4 linked regions of the Alligator mississippiensis genome follow. The protein of the gene in region 1 interacts with the protein of each later gene in a biochemical or structural test. Links are inferred from orthologs where the notes say so. Each region holds a gene or a part of one and is shown in the gene's direction. Other genes may lie near its edges. The genes, in order: mitogen-activated protein kinase 1, DUSP1, DUSP3 and HDAC6.

Region 1 (7,826 bases):
GGAGTTGGGAGATACTTAACACCCTGATTCTAATTAATGTATTTAATTACTAATGAATCACCTATTTTAATAACCAATGGCCTTTAGCTTCCCTTATGAATGAGCTGCAGGGAGCAGAAAGCCCTGGGGGTCAATATGGGGAGGGGGGCGGGGATCTTGGGAGATGATTAACAGCCTGTTCCTAATTCATTTAATGTATTTAGTCACTGATTAATCACTAATTAACCAATTGATGGCCTTTAGCTTCCCTTATCCCAGAACTACTCCAGGGAGAAGCCCCAGGGGCCAATACAGGGGGCAGGAGGGACTGACTGGGGGGTAATTAAGACCCTCTCCCTAATTAATTGCTAATTAGTCAGTGATTAGCAGGGGGGAGGTTCATGGATTGTGCCTCAGTTTCCCTTCTGGATGGGCCATATGGAGGGAGGGGGAGGGGGACCTGAGGCAATTAACTGCTTGATAATTAATCGTTTGTGAAACCCCTAGTTAATTAACCTGTGCCTAATCAGTTAACCTCTTCATTCCCTGTAGTTTCCCTTACCCACCAGCTACATAATTGAATGAGGGGAAATGAAACACTGAGACTTAATGGCTGGCTTGTTATATATCCCTAATCAATTAACCTAAATGACCTGGGATTCATCCCAATTAATTAACCTGTGCTTAATTAGTAACCTCTGGATTGCCTGTAGTTTCCCTTAACGACAAGCTACATCCTTGGGGGAGGAGAAATGAAGCATAGACCAATAAGAGAGGATGAAGGCAGAGCTGACAGTTGATGAACGATCTTTAATTAATTAACCTGGGCTTAATTAGTAACCTGGATTGCCTGTAGTTTCCCTTAAGGACAAGCTACAGCATTGGGGGAGGGGAAATGAAGCATAGACCAATAGGCTGAAAGCGAAGATGAGAAGTGATTAGTGACCTGTAATTAATAAGCTTTCCTCATCAACGGCTTACAGGGAGTTAAATATGCAAATGCAACAACCTACATTTGCATATTTAATTCCCTGTAGCACACTGACGAGGGAAAGTTATTAATTAAGTCTCAGTTCCCTGTCAAGAGGAGGGGAAGGCAGGGCTTCCTGGATCAGGGAAGGCCCCTGATTGGTGGGGTGGGCAGGTGGGGCTGGCTGGTGACGCGCAACCCAGATCTGGCACCTGATTGGTTCTGGAGGGGGCAAGATCTGTGTTCAAGGTAGAGGGTTGAAAAAGGGAAGCTTCGTTTGATTGGTGGTTGGGAGGGGGAGGAGTTTCCGTGTCGCCGCCCCCTCCTGTCCCTGGTGACCACTGGGTGCTTATGGGGGTGGGGCCAGGAGGGCCAGGTCTCTGGAAACCCGCCAGCCATTCATGAGGCCCACTCAGGAGGCTTTGGCAGCTGGCTCCACCCACTCCACCTGAGGCCCCGCCTTTTCAGCCTGCAACTCTTCTGTCCAGTGACCCTGCATTGGGGAAGGGGCAGAGGGGTCAGAGGGCATGGCCCGCGGCGAGGGGTGGGGCTTGGAGATGGGGGGGGGGGTCAGGGCTTACCTGGGAGGAGCAGAGGTCGTCCTCAGGGTTGTCGCGGTAACCCAGGTGGGAGCGAATCAAGTCACCCCAGAGGACGACCGTCTTGCAGCTATCGGGGGAACGTGGGGGTCAGTAGTCGGTGTGGAAACAAGAGCCCGCCCCCCACCCTTCCCCTCCACCTACCAGGGGCAGCGGCCCTCCACCGGCAGGAACTGATGCGGCTCGTCTTGCAGGAAGTAGCGCGCCAGGCAGGGTGGGTGGGCCGCCAGGGGGCAGCCTGATTGGATGCAGCGGAGGGGGGCATCCACCTCGCCCTGTGGGTGGGGGGGAAGCAGAGGGAGCACCCAGGCAGCCAAGCTCCTAGCCCCGCCCCTCCATGACCCCTGGTGTCCGGGCTCCGCCCCTCCTCGGTGGGAGGGAGACCCCGGGTGGCCGGCTTACCTGGAAGTGCCCCTCGCAGAGCTGGCAGGTGACCCCTGGCACGGCCGGAGGGGGCAGGGCTTGGTGGGCCAGGCGGGGCTGGTCAGGGAAGGGCCCATAGGTGATGGGCACGTGGGGGGGCGGGGCCAGGTCAGGGAGCGGGGCCGGGAGGCGGCCAGGGCGGAGCCAGCGCAGGGCCAGGGGCAGGCGGTCCCAGGGGGGGACGCGGAGAAGTTGGGCCAGGACCCCCAGGGCGGCAGCGAGGGGGGCGCCGGGGCGGCGGGCGGGGCCGGGGGGCAGGCGCCGCGACGCCCCAGGGTGCTGCCATGCCCACTCGAACTGCGGAGAGAGAGGGGAAACCGGGGTGAGGACCAGGTGTCCAGGCTCCTAAATCCCTAGGTCCAGCCCCGCCCCCCTCCCAGAGTGCCCAGGCTCCCTGCTCTCACCCCCGCCCACTCCCAAGGACCCCAGGCCTCTGGGCTCCTGAACCCCTTAGGCCTTGTTGCTCCCATCCACTAGGCCCCAGTGCCCTCCAGGGGGCGGGGCACTCACCCGGAGGGCAGCCACATTGGAGGGGAAGCCATGGACGATCAGCACCATCTCCCTGTGGGGGGGGAGCAACGCATACTGGGAATTGCTGCTGCAAAGCATGTTGGGAGCCAGACCCCCAGAGTAAAGCATGCTGGGAAACTGGTGCTGCTACAGACAAGTATAAGTATGTTGGGACACCAGTGCCTCACAGCAAAGCAGGCTGGGAGTCTGGTGGTTGTGCTGCAAAGCATGCTGGGAAGCCAGGCACATAAAGCAAGGCATGTTGGGAGTCTGATCCCTTGCAGCAAAGCATGCTGAGAGCTTTACCTGCCAGGTGGGAGGCTAGGCCCATAAAGCAAAGCATGCTGGGAGCTTAGTCCTCCCTCAAGCAAAAGGTCTAAGCCACTTTCAGCAAAGCATTCTGGGAACCAGGTCCCTTGCAGAAAAGCATGGTGTGAGCCTGGTCCTCTTACAGCAAAGCATGCTGGAAGCTTGGTCCCTCCCAGCAAAGCATACTAGAGGCCTGGCCCTCCTAAAGCAAAGCCTGCTGGGAGTCTAACCCATGTAGAGCAAAGCCTGCTTGGAGGGCAGGCCCATAAAGCAAGGCATGCTGGGAACCAGGTCCCTAGCAGCAAAGCATGCCAGGAGCGTGATTTCCTGAAAACAAGGCATGCTGGGCAGTAGCCCCGCCCCCCACGGTGGCTCACCATGGCCCGCGCCCACTGGTGCGGCGCGCGCCGCCATAGCGCCGCCCCCGGTTGTGCTGCCGCTCCCGGCGCCGCGGCTCCACCGTGAAGCCCACGTAGACGCGGCCCCGCCCCTCCGGGCGCGTGCACAGCAGCAGGTACACGCCGCGGAAGCCCCGCCCTGGGGCTGGTGCCATGGCACCGCCTGCCAGGCAGATGGGGGCGGGGTCAGGGGCGGCCCCTTGGGGGCCTGTTTCCTGCCACCCCCACTCCCACGCGTCTCATCACGCCCCGCTGCCCTTCCTGTGCCAATTTCCCAGCATCCCTTGCTTCTCTAGCTCCCACCATGCCCTGCGCTGCTCTCACCGACTCATGTCCCAGCATCCTCTGCTCCCATCATCCCCTCAGACACCAACTTCCCATCACCCCTTGCTCCAGCCATGCAGCCCACCATGCCCTGCTCCCCCTTCAGCGGCCCTATCGCCCATCATGCCCCGCTTCCTTGCCCACACTCCCATCACCCCTTGCGCCATCCCCAACCGGCACGAACCCCGCTCCCGCCGCCGGCGCGTGCGTCCTGGCCAATCCCCGCCCTCCTTCCTCCTCCCCCGCTCCCTGATTGGCCGCAGGCGCCCGGGGGGGGGCGGGACGGGTCGCTCCGCCCGCCCATTGGCCGAGCCCTCAGGAGAGGCGAGAAAAGAGCGGGGAAAGGCCGCCCTTCGCTGCCACTGGCCGGAAAAGGCGGGAGCTAGAGGCCGGAACCGAGGCGGTAGGCGGAAGTGGGGGCGGGACCATAGGCGGAAGTGGCCATGGCAGCGCTGAGCGCAGAGGCGGTGCGGGAGCGGCTGCAGCGGGAGCTGGAGGCGGAGCACGTGGTGCGTGGGGGGGTGCTTGGGTTCCCGGGGGGCACGGGGCCGGGGACGCCCGGGTTGTTTTGGGGGGGGTGGACGCCTGAGTCTCCTTTGCTCCGCTTCCCGCGCAGGAAGTGGAGGACACGACCCCCGAGCGCTGCTCCACGTCCTTCCGGGTCCTCGTGGTGTCGGGCCGGTTCCGGGGGAAGCCCCTGCTGCAGCGGCACCGGTGAGACACGCCCCCCCCTCCTTCTCCCCCCACCCTCCCGAGAGCCGCGGCGTGCGGGCTGACCCTGCCCCCCCGCAGGCTGGTGAACGAGGCGCTGGCGCAGGAGCTGCCCCACATCCACGCGCTGGAGCAGCGCACGCTGACGCCGGAGCAGTGGGAGCAGCAGCGAGCGGCGCCCGGCACCGCCCGGGAATAAAGAATTATGGGAAACGCGCCTGGGCTCGGCCTCGCATCTGTGGGAGCGCCGGGGGAGGGGCGGGGCCAGTACGGATGAGGGCGTGGGTAGTAAGAAAGGGGGTGGGGCGTTGTGCCGGGGCGGGGCTTGTGGACCCTGGGGGTGGAGCCACTGTCTAGCTTAGGGGCCGGGCGGCAGCAGGCGGGCGAGAAGACCAGTGGGCGGTCTCTTCCGACTAAGGGCAGCGGGGTAGCGCGGCTTCACTCCGGCGCTTTGCGCAGGCGCCGAACGACCTCCTTTTCCTTTCTGGGTACGGAACGCCACGCATGCGTACTAAGCTCAGTGAGGGCAACAGCGGCTGGGCGAGGCTTCCTCCTGTCGCTCTGCGCAGGTGTTGCACCTCTCTGCCCGCCCCTCCTGCCAGTGGGCATGCGCTTTAAGGCAGTAAGGGTAGAGTCGCAGCGTCACTGCAGCGCTCTGCGCAGGCTCTCTTGTTCCCGCGCATGCGGGGTTGAGCACTGTGGGCAGCAGTTCTGCTCTGCAGCTTCACGCTGCCGTTGTGCGCAGGCGCCTCAGGGCAGCCGGGCGGCAGCGGCGCCTGCGCGCTGCGTCCGGGCGGTTCCGGGTGCGGCAGCGGCGATGGCGGCGGCGGCGGCAGCGACAGCCCCGGGCGGGGCTGGGCCGGTGGCGGGACCGGGGGCGCCGAAGCTGGGCGTGGAGTCGGTGAAGGGACAGGCCTTCGACGTGGGGCCGCGCTACACGGAGCTGCAGTATATCGGCGAGGGCGCGTACGGCATGGTGTGGTGAGCTGGTCCTGCGCGGCCGCCGTAGCGAGCCCCCGGCCCGGCCGGACCCCTGCGGGCCACCGTAGTCGGCCCGACTGCGGGCACTGACTCTTCCGCGCCGCCGTACGCGCGGTGGGACCCCGGAAGTGACCCCGACTATCCCCCGTGTGGGCAATGGGACCCCGGAAGTGACCCCTCTAGGTCCCCGTAGGGGCAGTGGGGCCCCGGAAAGATTCCTCTGGGACACCGTAGATTTCCGCCCCTAGGGAGCTAACCCCTGCGAGCCACTGTGCCCCACTGCATTGTGGGCAATGGGCTCCCTTCAGCTCAGCATTACATTTATGGCTCGCCAGGCCACTCTAATCGTCTCTGTTACATTTATGAAGGCCTTTGCCGCTGCCTCCAGGCCACCGTACGCCACTGCATTTCTGCCCCCCCCCCTGCTCCCGGTGCAGCACTCCTCCAGGTTACCCTGGCCCCTTCGTTCCCTCCAGGCTGCTGTTGTACCGTCAGCCCTCTGCCGCAAACCTTGGTTGTCGCAGCCCGTCTCCCCTTACGTTTCCGGTGCCCTGTGCCACCGATCCCTCCTGGGCGGGGAGGGTGGGGGTGTACTCGGGTCAGTGCCATCTCCGCTCCCCCCCATTACATTTATGGCGCCCTCTGCTCCAGGCCCTCCCAAGTTGTTGCGGCCCCATCTCCCCGTACGTTTCTGGTGCCCTCCCAGGCGGGAGCCGTAGCTGAGTCTGTGTCGCTCATGCTCTCCCCCCCAGCTCAGCCTACGACCACGTAACGAAGACCCGGGCGGCCATCAAGAAGATCAGCCCATTCGAGCACCAGACGTACTGCCAGCGCACGCTGCGGGAGATCAAGATCCTGCTGCGCTTCCGCCACGAGAACATCATCGGCATCAACGACATCCTGCGTGCCCCCAGCCTCGACCAGATGCGCGATGTGTATCCGCTGCCCCAGAGCCAGCCGCGTCGCGGGGGGGAGGGGTCCCACCCCAGAGCCAGCCGCAGCGGGGAGGCAGTGCGCTGTTATTGCCAGGCCTGCCCCAGAGCCAGCTGCACCGTGGGGGCGGGGGGGCCCCAGTTTCTCACCCCACAGCCAGCTGCATTATGCGGCAGGGGCGTCTAGTATATCCAGCCCAGAACCAGCTGCATTATGGGGAGTGGGGGCTGTTGTACCCAGCCCCTAGTGTCTCACCCCAGAGCCAGCTGCATTATAGGGGCCCTCTTACAGCTAGTCCCCAAAGTCCCACCCCTGAGCCAGTTGCATGATGGGGCCCCGTTACACCCAGCTCTTGACTTCCTGCCCCAGAGCAGCTGCATTGTGGAGGCTGATGTTACACTCAGCCTCAGCCCCACCCCAGAGCCAGCTGCATTACAGGGACCCGGTTATGCCCAGCCACCCACCCCACCGTGGCCCTTGACCCCCGCACCCAGCTACATCGTACAGGACCTGATGGAGACGGACCTCTACAAGCTGCTCAAGACGCAGCAGCTGAGCAATGACCACGTCTGCTACTTCCTCTACCAGATCCTGCGGGGCCTCAAGTACATCCACTCGGCCAACGTCCTTCACCGTGACCTCAAGCCCAGCAACCTGCTCATCAACACCACGTGCGATCTCAAGGTGCGGTGGCAGGGGGGTCCTGCCGGGCCACTGTAGCCCGTAAAACACTTGTCCGGGGCTGTGTGTCCTCAGGGGACCACCGTACCCGATGTCTCTGTGGAACCCGCAGAGCCGATCTCTGGGTGTGCTGTGGCCTCTCTGGGCCACTGCAGGACACATACAAGGCACTGATTGGGCATCGGTGGCCCCCGCGGGCCACTGTAGGACCCAGCAACCACACCTCTGGGGGTCTGTGTCCCCTTTGGGTCACCATACCCCACAAAATGAGCCCTTCGGGCCTCTGTCCCCCCTCCGGGCCACCGTCGGACCTGTGAAACCCATCTGTTGGGCTAGCGGGTCCCTTCCAGGCTACTGCAGGACTCCCAGTACCCACGTGTGGGGTATATATGTCCCCTCCAAGCCACATGATACCCACCTCTGGGGCCCCAATGCCCCTTTCAGGCCACCGTAGGACCGCCAAAGCCCATGTCTGTGCCCCATAGAGCCCATAAAACCCAGCTATTGGACCCCAAACCCCTGTATGGGGCATATCTGGCCCTTCCAGGCCGCTGTAGAAAAATTAAACCCACCTCTGGGGCCCTAATGTTCCCCCCAGGCCACCATAGGACCCCAGAGACCAAAGTTGGGGCTGTAATGTCCCCTCCAGGCCACCATCGAGCCCCCCAAACCCCTGTATTGGGCATATCTGTTCTCTCCAGGCCACCGTACTTGTGGTGTGATGCCCTCTGTCCTCCCCCACCCCCAGATCTGTGACTTTGGGCTGGCCCGGATCGCTGACCCCGAGCACGACCACACAGGCTTCCTCACCGAGTACGTGGCCACGCGCTGGTACCGCGCCCCTGAGATCATGCTCAATTCCAAGGTGAGGCCCCACACGCCTGGCTTCCCTCGGTGGGGAGGGGGGGCGGTAAAGCGGGACTCGTTCCATTCAGCCGGGCCACCCCTGACTCAGCTGCAGCATCGGGCCTGCCTCAGAGCTGGCTGCAAACCCGTTACGCCCTGGCA
Region 2 (7,248 bases), on another chromosome or scaffold:
CGGACAGGACCCAGCACAGCAGGGCAGAGTGGGGTCAGGTGGGGAAGTTCAATACCGCTGCCAGGAGCTCCATGCTGCTATGGTGAGGTGCCTCCTGCCTGCCCGACAGCAGCAAGGGGTGCAACTCCGTGCTGTCACCCCTGCTGCTGCTAGGCGGGCATGGGAAACCTTGCTATGGCAGTGTGGGGCTCACAGCAGCAAGTGAGCTTCCCTGCCCCACTCTGCCCTGCCATATTGGGTCCCACCCGCTGGGCCACGGAGGCCCTGAGGGGAGGGCAGCAAGGCAGGGAGCCTGAGCCCAAGCCCACAGTGGGTAGCCTACCCTAGCCCTATGCACAAAACTGGGGGACACATGACCATTATGCCCTCCCAGGAGTGCGTGCAGAGCGGGAAGCCAGCCCCCCTCCCCCACTCACCCCTGAAGGAGCTACTTGTGCCCCGTCCCGCTCCTCCTGCAGTCCTGTGGCTGCGTATTCCAGCCCCGGGCCCCAAGCTCCATTCACCGCCCCAGCCCTGCTCAACTCCTTCCCTCCCTCTCCCACTGTGTCGGCCTCAATCCCCAATTCCCTCCCCCACAACCCTGATTTACCTGCCAGGAGCTGCTCTCCAAGCTGCCTGGTGGCTATGTGAACGCATGAGCACGCATGCATGCAGTGCCCCCTGCCTGGTCGCTCTCTTCCCACTCCCTCCAGCCCCTTGCACGCTGGAACTCTGCCAGCCTGCAAGGGGAACCCACCGTTTCCCACACTCTTCTCCTTTGAAGGAGAAAATCCAGGTTTTACCGCATTTTTCCATAGCATACGGTAATCCCTGGTAATCAGTCAGCGCTTGAGTGGAAGAGTATTTGAACCGTCAGTCCTGTGACCTCCACATCATCATCCAGACTACTGGAGAAATTAGGGTTGGTGATAAGGAGATGACATTGCTTTCTTGAGTCATGGCTGGCCAGATACATGCCTGACCACAGCACTAAGGGGTACTCTGTTGATAACAAAAAAAAGGTGTAGTTTAGAGGAGATATTAAACTGAAGTTCTGAGTCCTGACCTCTTGGCTCATGGACACTAACAATCTCTTTGCTGTTTATTATGCCCGGTATCCTAATCAAAGTCTGCCTCAGAATTACATTCTTCTTGCCTAAATCCTTGTTGCATTTTCAGCTGGATACAGGCTCCTCTGCCTGTCTTAAACTGCTGCAGTGCACCACATTACACCACTACTGCATTCTGCCTTTCAGAGGAACAATGCGATTGCTGGATATACACTAATATATAGGCAAACTCCTGAAGCCCCCACCAGCAAGAGGGTGTTCTGCCCAAGAAAAGACAATAAACTGAATAAAGGTCCCTGGTTTGGGCCTATTTTTCATAGATTGCTTTTGTGTGAAAAGATTATATGAAAGTGTTTCTAAATAATTATTACTATTATTCTCCCAGAAGAGAAGAGATGTGGCTGCCCTGGTTGATACATTTTTAAGTGAGCTGTGATGAAGGTTGATAGGATCAACTTGCTAATTGCCTCGCACACATGTGAACAGAAAGACTCTGTTACCTTCTCATCAAACGGGCACTCTGATGAGTGGAACATTTCACCGATCATGTCTGCCGGGACATTAATGATTCACTGGAAATGATGTGCTGTAAACTGCCTCCATGGCCCTTGTAATAGAGTAATGACAGTGGGCTGGGAGTGGAATGATTTCCCAATAGCGAAACATATGACTGTTTTTATCACAATCTGTCTCTAACTTATGGTGTTATGATAATAACAATAATAAATAATCAGGCATGAAAAAGTACAACTCTTGTGTTTATGTTTGAAGAGCGTCGAGAAAACAGATTTGCTCAGCATCGAAAGCTTTGATAAAATGGAGGCAATTCCATGGTCAATTAATGAGCGACAAGACCCGGGAAGAAGATCCTGGAAGTTTCTAGAGCATTTGGTCAGACACGAGTTGGGGACTGGAGAATTTTCTAGAAAATTCTAGGGGGATGGATTACAGACGGGCAAGGACTGGAGGAGAGAGTTCGGGGAAGTTTTAAGGAAAACTGATTATTTCCAAACTGGCCAGGAAATGGTTTAGACTGGAAAGTTCAGACTGGCAAGAGCCTGGGGTAGAGTTGTGGAGAGTCCCAGAAAAAGTGTGGCAGTCAGGGACATGGGAGGGCACGGCACAGGCTGTTTGAGTAGGGAACAGTGGTGTTCAAGGGGCTGAATGCAAAGAAGTGATGAGAAGGAAACAGAAAAGTGAACGGTGTGTGGGGCACGACTGGAAGAAAGAAATTGCAAAGAGGGGCAGGAGGAAAGAGGAAGCAGAGGCAGAGCGGACCAGGTACAGAGCGACGGAGAGCACAGAAGAGAGAGAAACAGGCTGCAAGACCAGGCTCAGAGGCTGAGCCGTGGGGCAGAGGAAGTGAAACTCACCATGACTGGAAGCCCTGCATAAGAAACACCCTGGGAGCTAATCACCCGCTGGGAGGAGAAAAAGCTTTTGGGAAGCCTCGCTGCACTGGCGAAAGGGGGGAAAACCAGAGCTTGACTGGCTTCATTGCCAGTAGCCGACAGCACTGGTTTCTGTGGGAATTTTGAGCCTGCTGAGCAAATGGGCCCAGGCTTTTCCCCCCATTTTCTCTGCCTGAAATGCACTGAAGGAGGAGGACTGTTCCCCCCTCTGTAGGCTACGTAGCCAAGTTCCCCACCATAGGCTACGTAGCCAAGATGTGTGTCCGAAGAGGCCATTTCTTAGACACTCCCTCACACTTTGTTTTGAACCCACCCTTTCCACAGCCTGTGCAAAGAGCACGTGGAGCTGTAAGCAATGCTAGGAGCATGGGCGTGAGTGTGAAGAAGCAAAAGATCCCTGCTCCCACCCTGAGCTGCAAAAACATAAAAAAAAATGTTTTACTAACAAGGCAAATCAGCTAAGTCAAGTCCAAATCTATGAATCAGTCCAGCACCATAAGTGGCCCTACAACCGGCAAACATCCTCCACCCCTACCAGGGGCTTCAGATATTTCCAAAGTCTTTTGGCAGGCATCCTATGTGCAGGCCCAAGCCCGGACACTTGGGGTTCAGGTGCCCGCTAGTTTCGCCTGCCCTCAGCCATATGGCTGCAGAAGCAAGCTAGGGAGGAGCCTCTCATTTCCGTAAAGTGGGCTTTAAGCCCCAACACCTTGGCGGGTACTAAACCACGCCAGAAGAACAGTTATCCCTGGGAACACTTAAGGAAAACTGCCTTCAGGGACCCAGATAAATGGTGTTTCCCTGTAAAAACATTTTTTTATATATAGAATTTGTATCCAAGGCCGAATTAGCCAAAACTAATTCCAAATCCAAGAGTCCAGAACCATTAAGTGGCCCTACTACCGGCAAACATCCTCCACCTGCACCTGGGGCTTCAGATGTTTCTAACACCTTTGGTGGGCATCCTACTTGCAGGCCCCAGCCCAGAGGCTTGAGGTTCAGATGCCCCCGAGTTGTGCTTGCCCTCAGCCATAAGGCCCTCGGAGCAAGCAAGGGAGGAGACTCCCATTTCCATAAACTGAGCTTAAGGCTGCTGCACCTCGGTGGGCACTGACCCACACCAGAAGGGCAGTTCTCCTGCGAGTGGGTTCAGGAAAGCTGCCTTCTTGGACACAAGTCCTTGGTATTTCCCCTGCCAGGTTAAGAAGCCACTACACTTGATCTGAGCTTTCAAGGGGCCAAGAAGTCCTTGTAAAAACATTTTTAAAAATTGAAATATATTTCTATATAGAGAGAGTTTTATATCTATATCTATATATATATACATCCTCTATCATAAGCTTTCCATTAAGAAACCCGAGCCTCCCCTTACAATAAACGCCCCTAATGCCCCCTGTAAAAACAGCAGAGAGCAGAGCAGCAGGAAGGAGAGCTCACAGCACAAGGGGGCAGGGGCTGTCGCGCTGCCCTCACACCAGGGGGCCAGCGAGTGTTTCTGGAGCAGGTGAGAGACACTCCTAAGGAGCCCTGGTCTCCCTCAGAGCCCACAGGCCGCCCCTGGCCGACCCCCAGCCCCGGGCGGCGCCGCCACGTGCCCCGACTCGCAGAGAACACCAGGAGCGCAAGCGGCTGCCTGCCAATGACGTCAGTGCTGCTGGCGGGGCGGGGCGGGGCGCGTAGAACTGGCCCCCCGCCAAAGTGACGTCGCCCCCCCCAAAGGCGGTCACATGGGCCGGGCCTCATTCATAACTCAAACGAGGCGGGGCGACGGCTATATAAGGCAGCGGCGGTGGTGGGCCTGACACACACAGACACACGCTACACGCAGCAGCACGGAGCTACCCTGGGGGTTGGAGTGATGGTGAATATGGACGTGTGCGCCCTGGAGTGCGCGGCGCTGCGGGAGCTGCTGCAGGAGGGCGCGGCGCCGTGCCTGGTGCTGGACTGCCGCTCCTTCTTCGCCTTCAGCTCCTCGCACATCCTGGGCTCGGCCAACGTGCGCTTCAGCACCATCGTGCGGCGCCGCGCCAAGGGCGCCATGGGGCTGGAGCACATCGTGCCCAACGAGGAGCTGCGCGCCCGCCTGCTGCGCGGACACTACCGCGCCGTCGTGCTGCTGGACGAGCGCAGCGCCGAGCTGGAGCTGGAGCGGCCGGCGCGGGACAGCACCCTGCTGCTGGCCGCCAGCGCCCTGTGCCGCGAGGCCCGCGGCACCCGCGTCTGCTTCCTCAAGGGTGAGCGCCGCCCGCGGGATCGGGGCAGGGCACGCGGGATCGGGGCAGGGGGACGCGGCTCCCTACCCCCGCTGCCAGGGGCGGTCGGGGCAAAACTGAGGGCACAGCCCAGCCTGGCAGCCCCAGGCGTCTCAGCACCGGCTTGATCCTAAACCAGCTTTTCTCCTTTCCCCACGGCAGGAGGGTACGAAGCCTTCTCTTCCACCTGCTCCGAGCTGTGCACCAAGCCATCGCCTCCCACGGGCCTCAGCCTGCCCCTGAGCGCCAGCAGCGTGCCCGACAGCGCCGACTCGGGCTGCAGCTCGTGTGGCACCCCGCTGTACGACCAGGTGGGTAGGACGTGAGCGGTGGGGGGAGGCGGGCGGGCGGGCGGCCGGGGGGGAAAGCAAGCAGATTGCAAAGGGGGGAGAAGCTGTTGGACATCGCAGAATGCAACCATCTGATCGTCTCTCCCCGTCTCTCCTCTCAGGGTGGCCCCGTGGAAATCCTGCCATTCCTCTACTTGGGTAGTGCCTACCACGCCTCCAGAAAGGACATGCTGGACGCCTTGGGGATCACGGCGTTAATCAACGTCTCGGCTAACTGCCCCAACCATTTTGAGGGGCACTACCAATACAAGAGCATCCCAGTGGAGGACAACCACAAGGCGGACATCAGCTCCTGGTTTAACGAAGCCATTGATTTCATAGGTAAATGAGCTCTCCCCGGCGTCTGTGCTTCTAAGCGCTGAGCAGGCATTATTACCCTTGTGGCAGAAAACTCGGATGAGCTCCCCCAATCGGGTCTAAATTTAAGATGCATCATGTTTCCTCAGGATTTAAAATAAAGAAAATCAGCAGCTATCCCTTATGGGTGCTCCCTGAAGGCTGTATTACTGAGAGCTGAGGATCTTTAGAGCAGTAGTTCTCAACCTTTTTTTTTCTCTCTTTTTGTACCAGGACCCATTTGTAAACATCAGTGGCTAGTCCTGACCCAATGCCCCCTGCCCCAGTGTGCGGGGCAGGGGGTAGGTGGATATGAGGCATGGGGGGCCCCAAGCAGCCCCTTTCAGGCTGGAACTTTGCCTGCCTGCAAGGGAAAAGCCATAGCTTCCCACACTTTTTCTCCTTTTTGAAGGAGGATTCCTTTTTAAAATTTTGTTTATGGTCCTTTCATACATTCTTGTGACCCACTTTTGAGTCATGACCCACAGGTTGAGAAGCACTGCCTTAAAGGATCCTGAAGGTTGTTTGCTTTCTGTACCATGTTATCCGATTCAGCCTGTGAAATTTAGTCTGCATCCACTGATGGGAATTGATATCTGTGGGCAAAGGAAACTGTTGGTATGAATTGATTCAGAGGTTTTTAGAATCAAAACCTTTGCTATCTGCCTGTCTCAGGACGGGGGTCCATTTTGTCTGCAAAAGTGCCATGGACTCTTGGAGTGCTAAGGAAGTAAAATATTAAATAGAAGTACAATAGCATGAAATAGCAAGGCGTGTTTCTGTAGCTTTTGCAGCAGCATGACCCAGGCATTTAAATGAATCATTTGTATTTCAGACTCTGTTAAAAACGATGGTGGAAGGGTATTTGTGCACTGCCAAGCTGGCATCTCCCGATCGGCAACCATCTGCCTCGCTTATCTCATGCGGACCAACAGAGTCAAACTGGATGAAGCCTTTGAGTTTGTGAAACAGAGGAGAAGCATCATTTCCCCAAACTTCAGCTTCATGGGCCAGTTGCTGCAGTTTGAGTCCCAGGTCCTAGCCCCAAACTGCTCAGCAGAAGCTGGAAGCCCAGCCATGTCTGTATTGGACAGAGGGGCATCAACAACCACAGTCTTCAATTTCCCTGTCTCCATCCCTGTACATGCATCATCCAGTGCATTAAGCTATCTTCAGAGCCCCATCACCACTTCTCCCAGCTGCTGAAAAGCAGATAAGAACTTGCTCAGAACTCAGAGACTTGACCCTTGTTATTTAAGAAGTGCAATAACTCTGGGGACAGTGTCATCGGTCATTTTCATTCTCATTGTGCTCATCCATCATTCAGAACAACACACTATTACTAATCGGAAGGAGCTTATCTGGCTCCAGAGAGCTAGGTTCATTCTGACTTGACTGAGAATTTTTTTGACCAAATCTGGACATCTACCAAGAAGTCAAAAGGACATTGCTTCCTTCTATTCCATCTTTGTCTTCTGTCAGTTCTAAACCTAGTCTGTGTTAAGTAGCACAGTCACCAGTATTTCCATTCCTGGACATTCAAAGCAAGTGACACTGTCCCTTTTTATACAAGTCCTATTATTTATTTATTTTTATGTAAATGTGTTGTCTCTGCCTTCACAAGCCTGAAGCTTCATTTCTAGAGAAACCAAATACCTCAGTATTTTTTTTGGTACTGTAATCCTGTACATACATCTTAAACAGTTCCCACTTCCCAAGCACTGACGTGAGAGCACCAGATGAGTGCTTTTTTGAGTTGCCAAGGGTTGTATGTTTGCTGATTTTATTTATGATGTGAAATAATATATTTCTTCTTATGAAGACATAGTTTTGCTACACAATTACTACT
Region 3 (7,317 bases), on another chromosome or scaffold:
GCTTAATGCTAAAAGGAACTGAACCCCTGGGGTTGTAATATTTAAGCCCAACCAGACAGCTGGGACCTCATGACTGTTACTACCCTTGAATTAAAGAGCTGACAGAACAGTTCCAGGGCATTTTAAAATAGAAAGGTATGCTTTGAAGGGGGCAGTGAAGCATGCATATATGTGTATTAGAGAGAAAAAAATGGCTTCTTCCTAACTCCTTTAAGAAGAGACTTTTCATTACTGGTAATTCCACAGCTGTGCTTACTTGTTGCTAATTGAAGCTGCAGGCGCTGTTGCAGAAGGAAGGTACATTCTGTACAGCACATTATTCAATCCTCATAATCCCTTAACAATAGGGATCAATTTTTCAACTGATGCTTTTGCACAAAATGAGATCTACCATAAATTATTTGTGCTCCAAACACCAAACTTTTCAGGAAGCAGGCTGAGATAGTTTCATAAAGACATTAAAATGTCTTGGAGCAGATCTGAAACCAATTTGTATGGTGATTAAACAAAAATCACCAAACAGAATATTCACTACAAAGCCAAGAATTCATCTGCTCAAGGGATAGACTGCCTGAAATATGAAGTCTGCAACTTTTTAATTTAAAACATTTTAAAGAAACCACTGCTTCCTGCCGATAAAGACCAAGAGCCAACATTAGGTCCAATACAGGAATACTGTTAGAGTTATAGTAATTGTTTTTCGGCGCTATTTTTAATGAATGACACTCAGTTTTTTTGGAAAGGGGCATTTATATCTACTTAATTATAATGATTTGGCAGCTTTGCTCATCATATTCCTCCTACTTATACTTTGTACCTAAAATGAAACCTTGAGCTCCTCAGTAATAACCAGGAGTCAGTGATGTAAACCATTCTTGTCCTGCTGTAACCCACAGAAGAAAAGCTGAAGAAATGTCAAATGTCAAAGAACAATTTAGACAATGTGGCATAAGGAGAAAACAGTTCCTTAAATACAGAAGTCTTAAAAAAGGATATGCAAAGCACGAAAGAGAAAAGTCAGAGTAGTTAACAGCCGGTGTGTCTACAAATGAAATTAATGTGATGCAATATGCTCTGGAGCAATTTGATCCAAAGTAAACTACTCCCAGGCGCAGCATCTACACATGCACCTAGGACAGCAGCAACTTTTAGCCAGAGCAGAGCAGGCCTGGGCTGGCAAGGGGCTTAGAGCATCAGCCCCAGGTTCTGGGTGGTAGCATTGGGCAGTGGAGGGGCTGGCTAGGGCACGAGAGTCCTGAAGTGCAGAGTCGTGTGGCTTGGCAGCAGGCAGAAGTCTGGCCCCTGGCTGGCTGGGTGCAATTTAAGCCAGTGATCAACATCTACACATGCATTTAATCATAGTAAATTACACCACCATAAGACTATCTTACAGCAGAGTTAATTAGTTTACTGTGGCCTAATACCGCTCCACATGTAGACAGTGACACTTTACTGTGCAGCTACTTAGTCTACTCCATGGTAAACCACACATGTAGATGCACTCACCAGGTATTAAGGCAGGCAATAGGAGGAAAACAGAGTAGATGGGAGGAGGACTGTAATGGAAGGGTAAATAAAGCAAAAGATACTGCAAGTGTCTGATCAACTGTAAAAGGTTAAAACAAGTACATGGTATTCAGGTCAGGAAGGCAATTTAGAAATAAATAAGGGATTAATATTTCAAGCCAAACAACAGGTTTTAGACAAAAAGTAGAGCTGAAAGTCAAAGGGTGAAGAAATAGATTTGGGAGCAAGAAACGGCAAGGCAGGAAAGCAGACAATGGGTCTGATTTTCCTCCCATTGGCTTATCCAGTATTCAGAGAATACAACATAAGTCTACATGTGCTATTAATTTGCATTAAATAAAATATTGTGCAGTAAGCCTTCCCCAGAAGCACGTCTACACATGTACCCTGTTGGGAGCAGATTTGCTCCCAAGGGGAGCAGCCCAGTAAAAAGCTGCTTCTGTCCAGCTCTGTTCCCCTGCAGCAGCCAGGGGGAGCTACAGTGTGTGTGTGCTAGCCCTGGGGTTGGCAAGGGGGATAGGGTAGGTCCCAATGTGCATGAAGCCAGGAGAGCTCTGCTGGCTGTACCAGCAGCTGGCCCCTGGCCCCAGGCACATTGGGAGGGGGCTTCTTTCACTGTCACTTCTGAAACAGTCCTTTTATTAAAATATATGTTTGGGTCACAATGGACGTGTCTACATGTGCACTGTAATGCAGAGTAGCCTATTTTACCGTGCATTAGTGTCACAGCAAAAACTGTGCTAATACGCTAATGCGCAGTAAAATTAGGCTACTACGCATTAAGTGTCACTAAGCAAGCATGTGCTTTCACTACTGCGCATCAGGGCAGCCTAATGCACATTTAGTAGTGATAGTACATTTAATGCCCAGTAGCAAAAGCGCACTAATGAACGTGTAAACGCATCCAATATGTAGACGTGCTGAACAAGCACACTATTGCACAATTTTGCTACTTTTCAAAAATATTTAAGCATAAGTTCAACAACATATTTGCTTTAAAAGACTATACAGTTCTTATTAAGCAGATCATAATGATATTGTTGAGTTTCCACACACATTAGAATACAACAGAACCCTCCTGCTTCACTTTGGTACAACTAGCACAAAGACATGGCTCTGGACATCATCCCCAGTTTTAATAAAAATGAAAATCTGCTAGCAATTGATGCAACCTTAGACCAGAATCCAAATAGTTTCAGGTTCCTTGATTCAGGTATTTCCCACATACCTTTCACCATCTGCCCCAAGAAGGTAATTAAAACTGACCTTTTTTCTTTTCCTTTTTTTTTTTTTTTTTTTTAACGTCAGTGGGGAGTTTCATAGATGCTGAAAAGTGATGCAGGTTTATGTGCCTTGATACTGTACATAGTGAATGAAAAATATTAACCACTTCCAAAGGGCAATCCAAAAAAAAAGCAGCCAGAGATGCTTAGAGGTACCCAATGAACACCACAAAACCTCAGGGCGTGTAGTGATCTTCCACTCTTCTCAAGAGCTCAGACACCTGATTCAAGCTATTCCTTAGGCATCTCTTGAAATTCAAAATTCATAGACCAACTTCTGAAGTTCAGCAGTTCAGAATGCCTGGTCTCAGTAGCCCAGTGGGCTGAACATTAGGACCTGCACAAATAGTTCCCAAATCAATATCAATACTTACAAGATGAGTCAGTCTGCCTGCTTATGGTTTGAGGGACTGTGGTGGAATTTAGGGTTGTCGAAGCACCTCTGGCAGCAATACCTCGTTAGTGCTCTGCTGCCTTCTCTTGTCCCAAGAGGTTGGTGTTCAGACTCTTTTTGCAGGTGCAACAGAGACGGTCCAGTCTCCATTTTAGCCTTTACTGCTCTGAACCCCTAAAAGGGTGGGAGGACTCACGATGGTGCAGGCTAGATTGCCGGCAGACCGTCTTGACCGCTGAGAGATTTCTCAAGAAGCAGGGATTTCTGAGATGAGGCAGTCTCTCATTGGACCAACTTACCCATTTGGAGAGGTGCTCGAGCTTTGGGGTGCAAAGTGTGTTCCTTCAGGCCTGGCAAAGAAGCTGCTACAGCTTAAGCCAGTGATTTGTGAACTTTTTTTAGACTTGAGGCACCCTTTAGAAAGTGCCAGCTTAGTTGTTTTTTTTCCCCCTTTTGTGTTTTGCCAACAAAAAAATAATACAATTCTTCTGTGGTGAGGAACTTTGGAAGACCACAATGGCGCCGCATGTTTGTAACACTACAGCTTCCCGTGCAAAATCCTTTGTCAGCTTCGTCCTGGGAATGACACATGCGCTCCCGATGAGGCTGAAGTTGGTTCCTGGGAATAAGGAACCGGGAATAAGGCACAGGCAACCGGGAATAAGGAACCAACTTCAGTTTCATGCACTCCTGGCAGTACGGACTAGTAGTAGAGGCGATCTCTTTTATTAGACCAACAAGACTTTTGCAAAAAAAAAAAAAATTTATTTTTTTTTTTTGCAAAATCTTGTTGGTCTAATAAAAAGAGATCATCTCTACTACAAGTCCTGACTGCCTGTCCCTCTAGAGCAAGGCGGCTGCAGCCTGGACGCCCCCCTGGCAGTACGACTCTTGCGCGGCACCTCTGAAAGGAGCCTGGGGCACCGCCGCGCCCGGCCGAGAGCGCCTCGCAGAGCAGCCTCCCTCGGCTGAGAAAGGCGATCCCCTCAGCAGGGAAGCGCCGGGGGGGGGTGTTAACTGGCGAAGCACGGCCGTTCCCCGCTTGAAGAGCTCACGTTTGGTGGCACGGGGCGGGGAGGCCGCAGAGCGGGTGTCTGGCCGTGCCCTACGCCGCCGCCTTCCCGCGAGCAGGGCCCGAGCCGCCCCCGCGGGCCGGCGGGGGGAGACGGGCAGGGAGCGAGGGGGCGCCCGGGCAGCAGCTGCCGCCTCCCGCGCCGGCTGCCGCTACCAGCTGATCCCGGCCCCTCCTATCAGGCTCGGGGCGGAGGGAGCGGGGCCTGCCCAGCGCTGCGGTGCGGTGCGGTGCGGGTGCGGGCCATGTCCGAGTACCGCATCTCGGTAGAGGAGCTGAACGACCTGCTGGCCAACGGCAGCGGCTGCTACAGCCTGCCCAGCGCTCACAGCAACGAGGTGGCACCCCGCGTCCACGTGGGCAACGCGTGAGTGCGCCGAGCCCGGGCCCCGGGCCCTGCCCCCGCCCCCGAGCGCGGCCGGCCCGGCCCGGCCCGGCCCGGCCGGGGGGCGTGGGGCCTGGGGGTGGGGGCTGCTGTCGGGGCGGTGGGGCCGTGAGGTGCCGGGGGGCAGGCCTGTAGGGCGCGGGCCCCCGGGCCTCGGGAGGAGAGCAGAGGTAGAGTAGAGGAGCGGCACTGCCTTGCTCTGGGGCGCGGGCGGGCGGGAGGAGTTTCTTGCCGGATTCAGGGTGAGGGGGCGCGTTTCTGGACGGCGGTAAGGCAGGGACCTGGGAAGCATCAGCAACAGGAGCTGATGGAGACCGCTCGAGGCCTGAGCTACGAATGGGAGGAAACGTTGCTTTCCCGCCAAAGTCGCCGGCTTGCGCGACTGTGTGGGCCCCCTAGCACGGCCTGCCGTCAAAAAGGACATGCCAAGCAGGAAGAGGGGACTTGACGGCGGGTGTGTCTACACGAGAAATAAATGCAAAGGAATAAACCGCAGAGCAGGTTGTCCGCTGCTCCCAGGTGCAGCATCTCTACGCAGCCAGGGGAGCAGCGGTTTGAACCAGGGCAGAGCAGGCCCCTAGCTGGCTGCTGGGCGCCTGCACGCTCTCTACACGGGCATTTCGGCACAGTAAAATACTCTGCAGTAAAATAGTACTGTTGGTAACAGCACTATCTTCCCGCAGGGTTAATAAGTTCACTGCACCCTAATACCAGCACCCATGTAGACATTGACTCTTTACTGCAGAGCTAATTAGTCTGTTCTGCAGCAAAGTGCATGTGTAGATGCACCCAAGGAGAGTTAGTGGAGACAGGCTGCCCCTTTGAGCTGAGTGCTGCTCAGATGCATGGCCCTGGCCCCAAAGAGTTTACAGCTTGTGGTCTTTAGCCTACAATTAAGTGTGCCAGTGTGGACATGCAAAGCCCTACTTAAACCGGATTGCAGCATGGAGGCTAAACTGACCAGGTACAACAAGTTCATGTAACGTTAAAGCAGAAGGAGCGGAGACAGGGACAGTCCTGACAAACATGTGAGGCTGCCTAATCTAACAACATGCACAACTTCTTAATATAGTAAGGGAGGCTTTCATAGGGCCTACCTTTTGCTTTCCTTAACTTATTTTTTTTTTTCCTGTTTGTGATTGGTCAAGTAAGTGTCATGGTTTTGATTCTGTTCTGCTATTGGCTGAGAGCAAAAAGACACCCTATGCAGGCAGGCAGACCAGTGACTGACAGGTTCTCTGTGACTGTTCTGGTCAGTAAAGCTCGACTGCTTGAACGTTTAGGTAAAGTGGAGGCAGCAGCCACAAATCCAGGATATCAGTGTCAACAAATAATTAAGAAAATATGTTATTTGTGCACTTTGCTATTTCTCAGATGCAGCATATTTATTCAGGCCACTCGGCTCGTAGATTCAGTTCCCTGTTTTGTCACTCACCTGCTATAACCTTAGGCAGTCACTTAATCTCTCAGCACCTGTCTCCTTTCCCAACTATTAAAGCTATTTAGACTGTACATCCTTTAGAACAGGAAGACTGTCTTATGGTATGTGTATAGCACTGATCTAATTTGGGGGCATTCAAATATAACAAAAAATAATAAAAAATCATGTAGATGCACCCATTTTCTACCTTTTACCTAAACCAAGGGTTTCTAAACCCTAAACCACCTTTCTCCTAGGGTTTCCACCTTTCTTTTAAACAAAAACCAAGCTCTGCCTTTGTGTCTACTGCCAAGCTTTGCAACTCAAAATGGGCACATCTACGGGTTCATTAATGTGTTTTAGGTAGTGCGCATTAAATCTAGTACCTCTATTGTGAGGTACTAGAAAAATGTGCATTAGCTACAGAGCAGTTTTTTCCATGACGCTTAAATGTGGATTAAAATAGGCTAATGTGCATTAAAGTGCACTTGTAGTGAAAGTAAAGCACCCAGTGAAAGTAATACTGCTTCAAGATTAACACTAAGAGTTTTATCTCAATGGTCAAGGATGCTTCCAGGCATTCTTCTTCAGGCCTGCTCGCTCTCTCATGCTGCCTGTGTCTCTCTCGCATTTTCCAACAATCCAGGGAAAGATCTAAAATTATTGCTGATAAAATTTGCAGATGGCAGTAAAAAAGAAGTCCAAATTTATCTTCTTACTGTAAGAATGACAATAACAAATGAACAACAAATGAAAACCTTGCAAAGAAAAACATTAAAAGTCACAATATATTCATATGAATACATTGCTAAACAGCTTCATTGTTCCCGATAGTCCTCATATTCTGACTGTGGTTAGCACAGATGGAATCCTCCTTCTTTGGAGCCTTTGGATGGATCTAACAGGCTTGTGTTATTCCTCCTTCCCAGCAGGCACTTTGAGCAGGACGTGTGGTGCTGTAGCTGAGAGAAAAGCCATCCAAATTTCCCCTCAGTCTTCTTCAGTTCCTCCTTCACAGTCCGTAGTGTAGTAATAATGAGGCATTTAAGATTCCATAATTTCCACAGCAATGTTGTGATGTCACAAATGTCCTTTGATGTTGCAGGATTATGACTTCACTGCAGGTTCAAACAGAAGGCATAGCCAGGCAAACCTTTGTTCAAACATGTCTTCCCAATAGAGGTGTGGGAGGAGTCCAATTCTAGGAGTGACTGAAAGCTAATGGCATTTCATTAT
Region 4 (6,998 bases), on another chromosome or scaffold:
TACCAGGTTCTCCCCACCCCCAACCTGCTGTGACCCCTGGGGGTTGCCATGCCCCCCCCAATCACACCCATCCCAATCTGCCCACCTTCCCTAGCACGGTTGCTATGGTAACCTCCTCAGTTACTATGACATCTACCCTGTTGTCATGGTTTCCCATCATGGTTCCCATCCCCATCCCACATCCATGCCCCATCCCTCATCCATGGTTGCCATGACATCTACCCTGGCCTATCTTCCCTGCCCATGTTGTTTTGACAAAACCCCACTGCCCAATGCCCCTGGTTCCTATGACACCCACCCTAGTCATCCTTCTGCCTGCCCTGCCCCCACAGTTGTCATGGGACCCCATTCCCGCCAGGCTTACCATGACACCCATATTGGCCTACTGCTCCAGTTTCCTGCCTCAGTTGCCATGACACAGACACCAGCCTATTCACCCCAGCTTCCTGCCTCAGTTGCCATAACAGCCTTCTTGTGGTTGCTATAATACCCAATCCCCTTTGCCATTGCCATGACACCCACACCAACCTACCACCCCAGCTTCCTTCAGTTGCCATGACACCCCCGTTATCATGGCACTTACACCAATCTACACATCACAGCCTCCAGCCTCAGTTGCCATGACACCTACCCATCATGGTTGCCATGATGCTGCACACCCCAAGGTGGCACTAACCCTCACTCTTTTCCTTCCCTAGGCTGCCAGCTGTACCCAGTGCTGGGAGCGCTGCCGTGGGGGGAGGGCTCAGCCTTCACTGCGGGGGGCTGGGCCCCAGGGGGCTACAGCAAGGCCCTCCCTGGCCCTCCCTCACCCCCACCCCCCCCTGAGGCCCGGGACAGCCCCACTTTCCTGGAGATGCTGAAGACGGAGAGGCCCAGTCCTGGGGTGGGGGGGGGCACTGAGGGGCTGGGGCTAGGCCTGGGCCTGAGCCTGGGCCTGGGCGGGGGCTATGGCAGCCCCCCTGACCTGGCCTACCTGGCACCCCCTGGCCCCGCCTACCCCCCTGCCTTCCGGGGCAGCCTGCCCCTGGCATCATGTGGTGAGTCCTCTCCCCATCTGCCTCAGTCTCAGCTAGGATCAGGCACCTCCCCTCCTGTGCCAGCCAGGATTGGGACTCCCCAAAGCCAGAATCAGACTCCCCCTGAGTCAGGATTGGGCTCCCCCCTCCTGCCCCAGATAGGATTGAGGGCTCGCTCAGACTAGGACCAGGACCCACCTGCCCCCAGCCAGAATTGGAGCTACACAGCCCGCACCCAGGATTGGGTTCCCTGTCTCCCCCACATCCATGATCAGGACCTTCCTTGATTTTCTCTGCCTCCCACCCCAGGATTGGGCCCTTTGGTTGGGGGGAGGGTATAAGCTCTTACCAAGATTGGGCAGGGGGATGGAGGGGACATAGAGCACTTGGGGCTGGGCAGGATCGGGACCCCCTAGATAATGTCTCCCCCCGACAGAGGCGCGGGAGTGCGTGAACTGCGGGGCCACGGCCACACCACTGTGGCGCCGGGATGGTACCGGGCACTACCTATGCAATGCCTGTGGGCTGTACCACCGTGTCAACGGTGCCAACCGGCCCCTCATCCGCCCCAAGAAACGTCTGGTGAGAGATCCCCTCCAGAATCCCTTTGTGGACCCTTCCAATACATCCCTTCTACCCCTCCCCCCCACCTCATGGACCCTTCTGATACACTCCACCTGTGACTCCCATGTGGACTCTCCCATGCTCTCCCCCCAGATCCCTAACATGGAGCATTATACACCCCTATGGACCCTTCCAATACAGTCCCTCAGGGATTGCCACATGGACCCTCCCAACCGCTGCACAGACTCTCCCATTACAACCCTCCCCAGGACCCTCCCAATACACCCTCCTGGGTCCCCAGCTAGGACCATTCTATACACCCCCCACACAGACCCTTCCAGTACTCTCGTATAGACCCTCAATATATGGACCATTCCACACACTGTCCTCCCACATGGACTCTGCTAATTCACTCCCTCCACTGACCCACAACATGGACCCTTCCAATCCCCCAGGGACCTCCACATGCACTCTTTTATAACAACCCCCCACCCTGAAACATCCGCATCATCCCCAGGACCCTGACATGGACTCTCCCAGGCCTCTGCCTAGGACCCCCAACATGGACCATTCCACACCATGGACTGTCCACCAACATGAACTGTGTTAATTTACCCCCTAGGGTTGGATCCCTAACATGGACCCTCCCAACATCCCCTGCAAGGACCTCCACATGGAGTTTTCCAAACCACCCCCCAGGGATCTTGGCATGGACCCTCCCAATACACCCTCCCCCCCACAGACTCCCAATATGGACCATTCTTCTCCCCCACATACATGCTCCCAATGCACCCATCCATGGGACCCCCAACCACTTGTTCCCTGGAAACACCTGGTGAGAGACCCCCCACCAGGCTTCCCATATGCCCCCTGGGGATCTCCAAACCCCTCCTGGAATCCCCATACCCCCTAGGGACTCCATCCAGACACCATGGGGACCCTGTGACCCCCACCACTTGACCCCTGCCCCCCCACCTCCAGGTGGTGAGCAAGCGAGCAGGGACCCAGTGCAGCAACTGCCAGACCACGACCACAACACTGTGGCGCCGCGACCCCCGCGGGCAGCCCGTCTGCAACGCTTGCGGCCTGTACTACAAGCTCCACAATGTGAGTGCCCCCCCATTCTTGCCCCAGGGCCACCTGAGTTCCTACCCCAGGGCTGCCCGGATGCCTGGGTCCTTTTCCTGGGAAGGCCCAAATGCCTAGGTTCTCATCCTGTCGTTGCCCAGGTACCTAGGTTCCATCCCTGGAGAGGCCCAGATGCCTGGGTCCTTTTCCCAAGGCCACCCTGATGCCTGGGTTCCTACCCCAGGGCTGCCTGAGTTCCATCCCTGGAGAGGTCCAAATGCCTGGGTTCCCACCATGGGACCACTCACATATCTGGGTTCCATCCTCAGGGCACCTGGGTTTACATCCCTGATGGGGGGGATTGCAGAGGGATGGGGCATGGTCCTGGTCACCTGGATTCTTTCACCAACTCTGGGAGGGGAATGGGGGCTGGGATCCCAGACACCTGAATCCCTCTTGGCCCCTGGATGCATGGATCCCTTCATGACCCCTTCCCTGCAGGTGAACCGGCCACTGACCATGCGCAAGGATGGGATCCAGACACGGAACCGCAAAGTCTCAGCCAAGGGCAAGAAGCGCCGCAGTGGAGAGCCAGGTGTCCGGGCCCTGCCTGGCCCTGAGGGCCCTGCCCCGCTGGAGCTACTGACCCCGTCCCCCCTAGGAGCCGAGGACCCTAGTGCTCTCTATGCCCTGGGGCCTGTGGTCCACCTGCTGCCCTTCTCCCCCACCCCACACCTGCTGGGCCCCACCGCCTACCCCACCCCTGGCTCCTCCCTGGCCTGAGGGTCAGGGATGTGATCTGGCCCTATCCCACATCCACTAGGTCCAGCCCCCAGCCCAGCCCTACCTCTTTGGCCTGAGAGGTGGAGTCACAGCCTGGACCCAGCACCTCTCCCTAACCTGCCCCCAGGACTGAGTGGTGCAGCTACATTCTGACTATGACCCCCACCTGCTGGACCCCACCCACTGACCCTGAGGGGGTAGAGGCCATGGGTAAAGCCCCACCCCTGGGTTTGAAGGATTGAGCCATATCCTGCCCCAATGCCACCTGCCGGACCACCTCTAAAGGTACATTCCCCAGCCTGAGGGGGTGGAGTCACTGCTTTGGCCTGCTCCCTGGCTCCACCCCCAGGCTCTTGCCTAGTCCCGCCCCCACCGAGGGGAGGGGCTCTTGATGGGTGAGACCCTTGGGGGAAGCAGGTGCCGAGAGTCAGGGGTTTTAGGGGTCATGGGGCTCCAGGTCCCCCCCCACCCCAGCCCCCCCAATAAAGAGTCTGTCTCTTTAAGATACTGGTACTTTGCCTTTAATTGCCCTCAACTAGTGTCCGTGGTAGTACCCGGCCCCCACCCAAGCATTGGGAAAGTCCCAGTCTCCTTCCCCCTTTACTGAGGTGAATGGTCTCTCCCACCCCTCTAAGTGCGCATGTGCAGGGGAATTGTGTCACCCAGCTCTGCCTGCCCCGCGCGGTACGAATGGTCTCGCTCAGGGCAGGCCAATCTGACTCCATCCGGCAGCGCCCGGGAGAGACCATCTTTCTGAAGGGGGGGGGGGAGCAGATGAAACCATTTCCCCCCAACCCGGAGCCTCTCACGCCTACTTGTAATCCTCCCTGCCTTGCCGCCGCGATGCCCCCTGGGGTCTCTCCGGGGCCTGAAGGACCCAGCGCCCCGGCACCGTCGGTAAAGTAGCCGCCCCACCACTTGCCCCCCCCCCATATGGTTATGGGGAGTGGGTACCACGCTGGGAGAGTTGAAACCCGGTACCGGGGTCCAGGAGGGGTGGGGCTTATGATACTGAAGTGGGGCCAAGATGGGGGGGGGAAACTGACAGGGTGGAGTAAAATGGGGCGGGGCCAGGCTGTGGGAGGAGCTTGGTGCTCAGGGAGCGGGGCCAGAACGGGGTGGAGCCTGCGGGTAAGGAAGATTGGAGGTGGGGCTTAAGGACCTGGGGTGTGGCCTAGGTCAGGTGGGCGGGGCTTGGAGGCCAAGGATGGTGCCTGTTTCTCTCAGGGAGGTAAAGCTGGAGGGGAGCCAGGAGTGGGTGTGGCCTGACCACTGGAGCTGGATTTCCGGGCCGTGTGGGTGTGGCCTGACATGAAGGGGTGGGTTTGATCCCAAGGTAGTGTGGCCAGAGCTCTGCAGTCTGTCTTGTCATCCCCTTGTAGGGCCGGGCTGGTCGGCAGGCACCACCCCCTCCCCGCCGCAGCCCAGGGCTCCCTGAGGCAAAGCGGCGCGGCCGTGCCCGGAGGTTGCATCAAGAGGTGGCCGAGCTCCAGGATGGGTTACAGCACCTGGTACGGCCTAGATACCTGCGCCTCATGGAGTGGGGGTAGAAACTGGAGGCCTGTGTCCCCACAAGGTTTTGGCAGGGGAAGAGCCTGGACACCTGAGTCATTTTGGAGGTGGGGGGGATGGGGGTTGGTGGGAGCCCAGATGCCTTGGTCTTCTTGCTGGGAGGGGACAGGGGCCTGGTGGGTTCGATGGTAGGGGAGCCATTGGGGAGCCCCCAGCTGCCTGGGTTCTCCTGCTCTGGACAGGGCAGTGAGGCAGGGTATTATGTTGGGAGGGAGATACTGGAAGTCTGAGTTCACTATCTCCTGTGTCCTTCTCTACCCCCCCTCCAGGATCTGGCTGCAGAGAAGCCAGTGCCCTCAGGGACAGGCCTTGCTTATGATAAGGAGCTCACCAGCTTTCACTGCCTTTGGGACAAGAGGTGAGGGAAGCTGCTCCCTTCATCTGCAGCTCCTGTGCTGCCCTAGCTCCCTCATGAACTTCTATCTCTAAGGGTGGCACATCTGGGATCAGTTCACCAGCCTGGGACTCCAGTGCCACTCTGAGCTTGGCTTGTTACCCTGGGCTCTGTCCTGTCTCTCCCTGCTCCCCCCCCCATCTCTGTAATGGAGGGGGTGGATCTGGGATCAACTGGTCAGCCCGAGGATCCCCAGTCCCAGTCTGGGATTGATTTCCCTAGCCTGGCCTACAACTCTCTCCCCCCCACCTATGAGTCCCCATCATTGTGACAGAATCTGGGATCAACTCATCAGCCTCGGTTCCCCAGTCTTACTCTGGGTTTGGCTGGCTGACCTGGTCCCTCCCACCCCTGCTCCTTTTGTGTCTCTTCCTGACCCCCCAACCCCACCCATATTGGTGTTTCTCACACCTGACCTGCAGTGCTCCCCATGGCCCCAGGGTGCCCCTCACTCCTGACCCATAATGAATCCTACTGGGCCATGGATCCACAGAGGGAGCTGGGGCACCCAGATACCTGGGTTCATGGAGGGGATCCCAGACACCTGGGTTCACTGGGGGACCTGGATGCCTGAGTCTACCAGAGCCTGAGATGCCCAGATGTCTGGGTTCATGGAATGTGGAGAATGGCTGGGGGACCTGGATACCTGTGTCCCCATAGCTTCACAGTGCCCCTCACTCCTACCCCACAGCCTCCTGACTCTGCCCTTATTGCTGCAGTTTCCCTGAGTGCCCAGCCCGGCTGACATCCATCTGGACCAAGCTGGTGGAAGATGGATTGGTGGAGAGGTGTGTCCCTGTGCAGGTGAGTCAGATGCCTGTGTTCTCTGGGAGTGGAGGAGAGGCTGCAGGTGAGAGTGGTGGGGTAGGGAGGATGAGAACTCAGACACCTGGATTCTCTGGGAGGGGTGTGGGGCTGGGAGCCTGGATGCCTGGGGGTTTTTTTAGGGCTATCTCTTTGCAGGCCAGACTGGCTACGGAAGAGGAGATTCTGCTGGTACACAGGTGAGAGAGTTACTGGGGGTGAGGGGCACTGCAGGTCCATGGGTTTGGGGGGGGGTTGCAGGTTGGGAGTAAGGAGGGGAGTGAGGGGCACCATGACCCCCTCCTCACTTTGCAGCCCCCAGTTCCTGGCCCTCATGGCCTCAACTGCCGACATGGAGGAGGGTAAACTCCGCGCCCTCTCAGACACTTACGATTCAGTTTATTTGCATCCGGTAAGCCCCAGATTTTGGGGGCGGGGGGCTTGAAGCCCAGATGCCTGGGTTCTCTGGCAGGAGAGGTGGGTGAAAGCAGGGAGGGCTAGGAACCTCGATGCCTGGGTCCCTCACCATCCCCACCCCTGCAGAATTCATACCACTGTGCGCGGCTGGCAGCCGGCACTGTCCTGGCCGTGGTTGACAAGGTGCTGAGTGGGGAGCTGAGGAATGGGCTGGCGCTGATCCGGTAAGACGGGCTAGTGAGGTCTGGGGGGTGGGGCTAAGGGGATGGGAAAAGGGGCTGGAGGTGGGGCCTGAGTTCTAAGGGTGGGGGGTTATAGGGGTTGGACTTAGGGGCCCAAGAGGACAGGCCTAGCAGGGGAGGGGTGGGATGAAGCAC

Evidence for each region.
Region 2: of the proteins of mitogen-activated protein kinase 1 (region 1) and DUSP1, one has a biochemical effect on the other in vitro, tested with the Homo sapiens proteins (2 studies listed by BioGRID and IntAct). The link is inferred for Alligator mississippiensis from reciprocal best matches to the Homo sapiens genes MAPK3 and DUSP1.
Region 3: of the proteins of mitogen-activated protein kinase 1 (region 1) and DUSP3, one has a biochemical effect on the other in vitro, tested with the Homo sapiens proteins (2 studies listed by BioGRID and IntAct). The link is inferred for Alligator mississippiensis from reciprocal best matches to the Homo sapiens genes MAPK3 and DUSP3.
Region 4: the proteins of mitogen-activated protein kinase 1 (region 1) and HDAC6 form a complex in vitro, tested with the Homo sapiens proteins (2 studies listed by BioGRID, with this or other methods). The link is inferred for Alligator mississippiensis from reciprocal best matches to the Homo sapiens genes MAPK3 and HDAC6.

What each region holds. Positions count from the first base shown.
Region 1 is NC_081830.1:836,533-844,358, forward strand, and holds the start of mitogen-activated protein kinase 1, read left to right. Parts: upstream 1-4,815; 5' UTR 4,816-4,830; coding exon 4,831-5,204; intron 5,205-5,382; exon of another isoform or gene 5,383-5,497; coding exon of another isoform or gene 5,498-5,598; intron 5,599-5,956; coding exon 5,957-6,139; intron 6,140-6,631; coding exon 6,632-6,821; intron 6,822-7,566; coding exon 7,567-7,683; intron 7,684-7,826. Other genes in the region: structure-specific endonuclease subunit SLX1, read right to left, coding at 1,362-1,442, 1,531-1,618, 1,693-1,823, 1,951-2,268, 2,482-2,533, 3,168-3,343; bolA-like protein 2, read left to right, coding at 3,956-4,021, 4,129-4,226, 4,305-4,422.
Region 2 is NC_081832.1:61,872,950-61,880,197, reverse strand, and holds the start of DUSP1 (dual specificity protein phosphatase 1), read left to right. Parts: upstream 1-4,247; 5' UTR 4,248-4,319; coding exon 4,320-4,695; intron 4,696-4,875; coding exon 4,876-5,024; intron 5,025-5,164; coding exon 5,165-5,384; intron 5,385-6,234; coding exon 6,235-6,605; 3' UTR 6,606-7,248. UniProt on the Homo sapiens protein: Dual specificity phosphatase that dephosphorylates MAP kinase MAPK1/ERK2 on both 'Thr-183' and 'Tyr-185', regulating its activity during the meiotic cell cycle.
Region 3 is NC_081827.1:153,368,402-153,375,718, reverse strand, and holds the start of DUSP3 (dual specificity protein phosphatase 3), read left to right. Parts: upstream 1-4,317; 5' UTR 4,318-4,521; coding exon 4,522-4,643; intron 4,644-7,317. UniProt on the Homo sapiens protein: Shows activity both for tyrosine-protein phosphate and serine-protein phosphate, but displays a strong preference toward phosphotyrosines. Specifically dephosphorylates and inactivates ERK1 and ERK2.
Region 4 is NC_081831.1:28,539,998-28,546,995, reverse strand, and holds the start of HDAC6 (histone deacetylase 6), read left to right. Parts: upstream 1-3,979; 5' UTR 3,980-4,046; coding exon 4,047-4,331; intron 4,332-4,816; coding exon 4,817-4,945; intron 4,946-5,275; coding exon 5,276-5,364; intron 5,365-6,091; exon of another isoform or gene 6,092-6,119; coding exon 6,120-6,204; intron 6,205-6,363; coding exon 6,364-6,404; intron 6,405-6,519; coding exon 6,520-6,616; intron 6,617-6,747; coding exon 6,748-6,845; intron 6,846-6,998. Other genes in the region: CDK20 (cyclin-dependent kinase 20), read left to right, coding at 2,565-2,690, 3,153-3,434.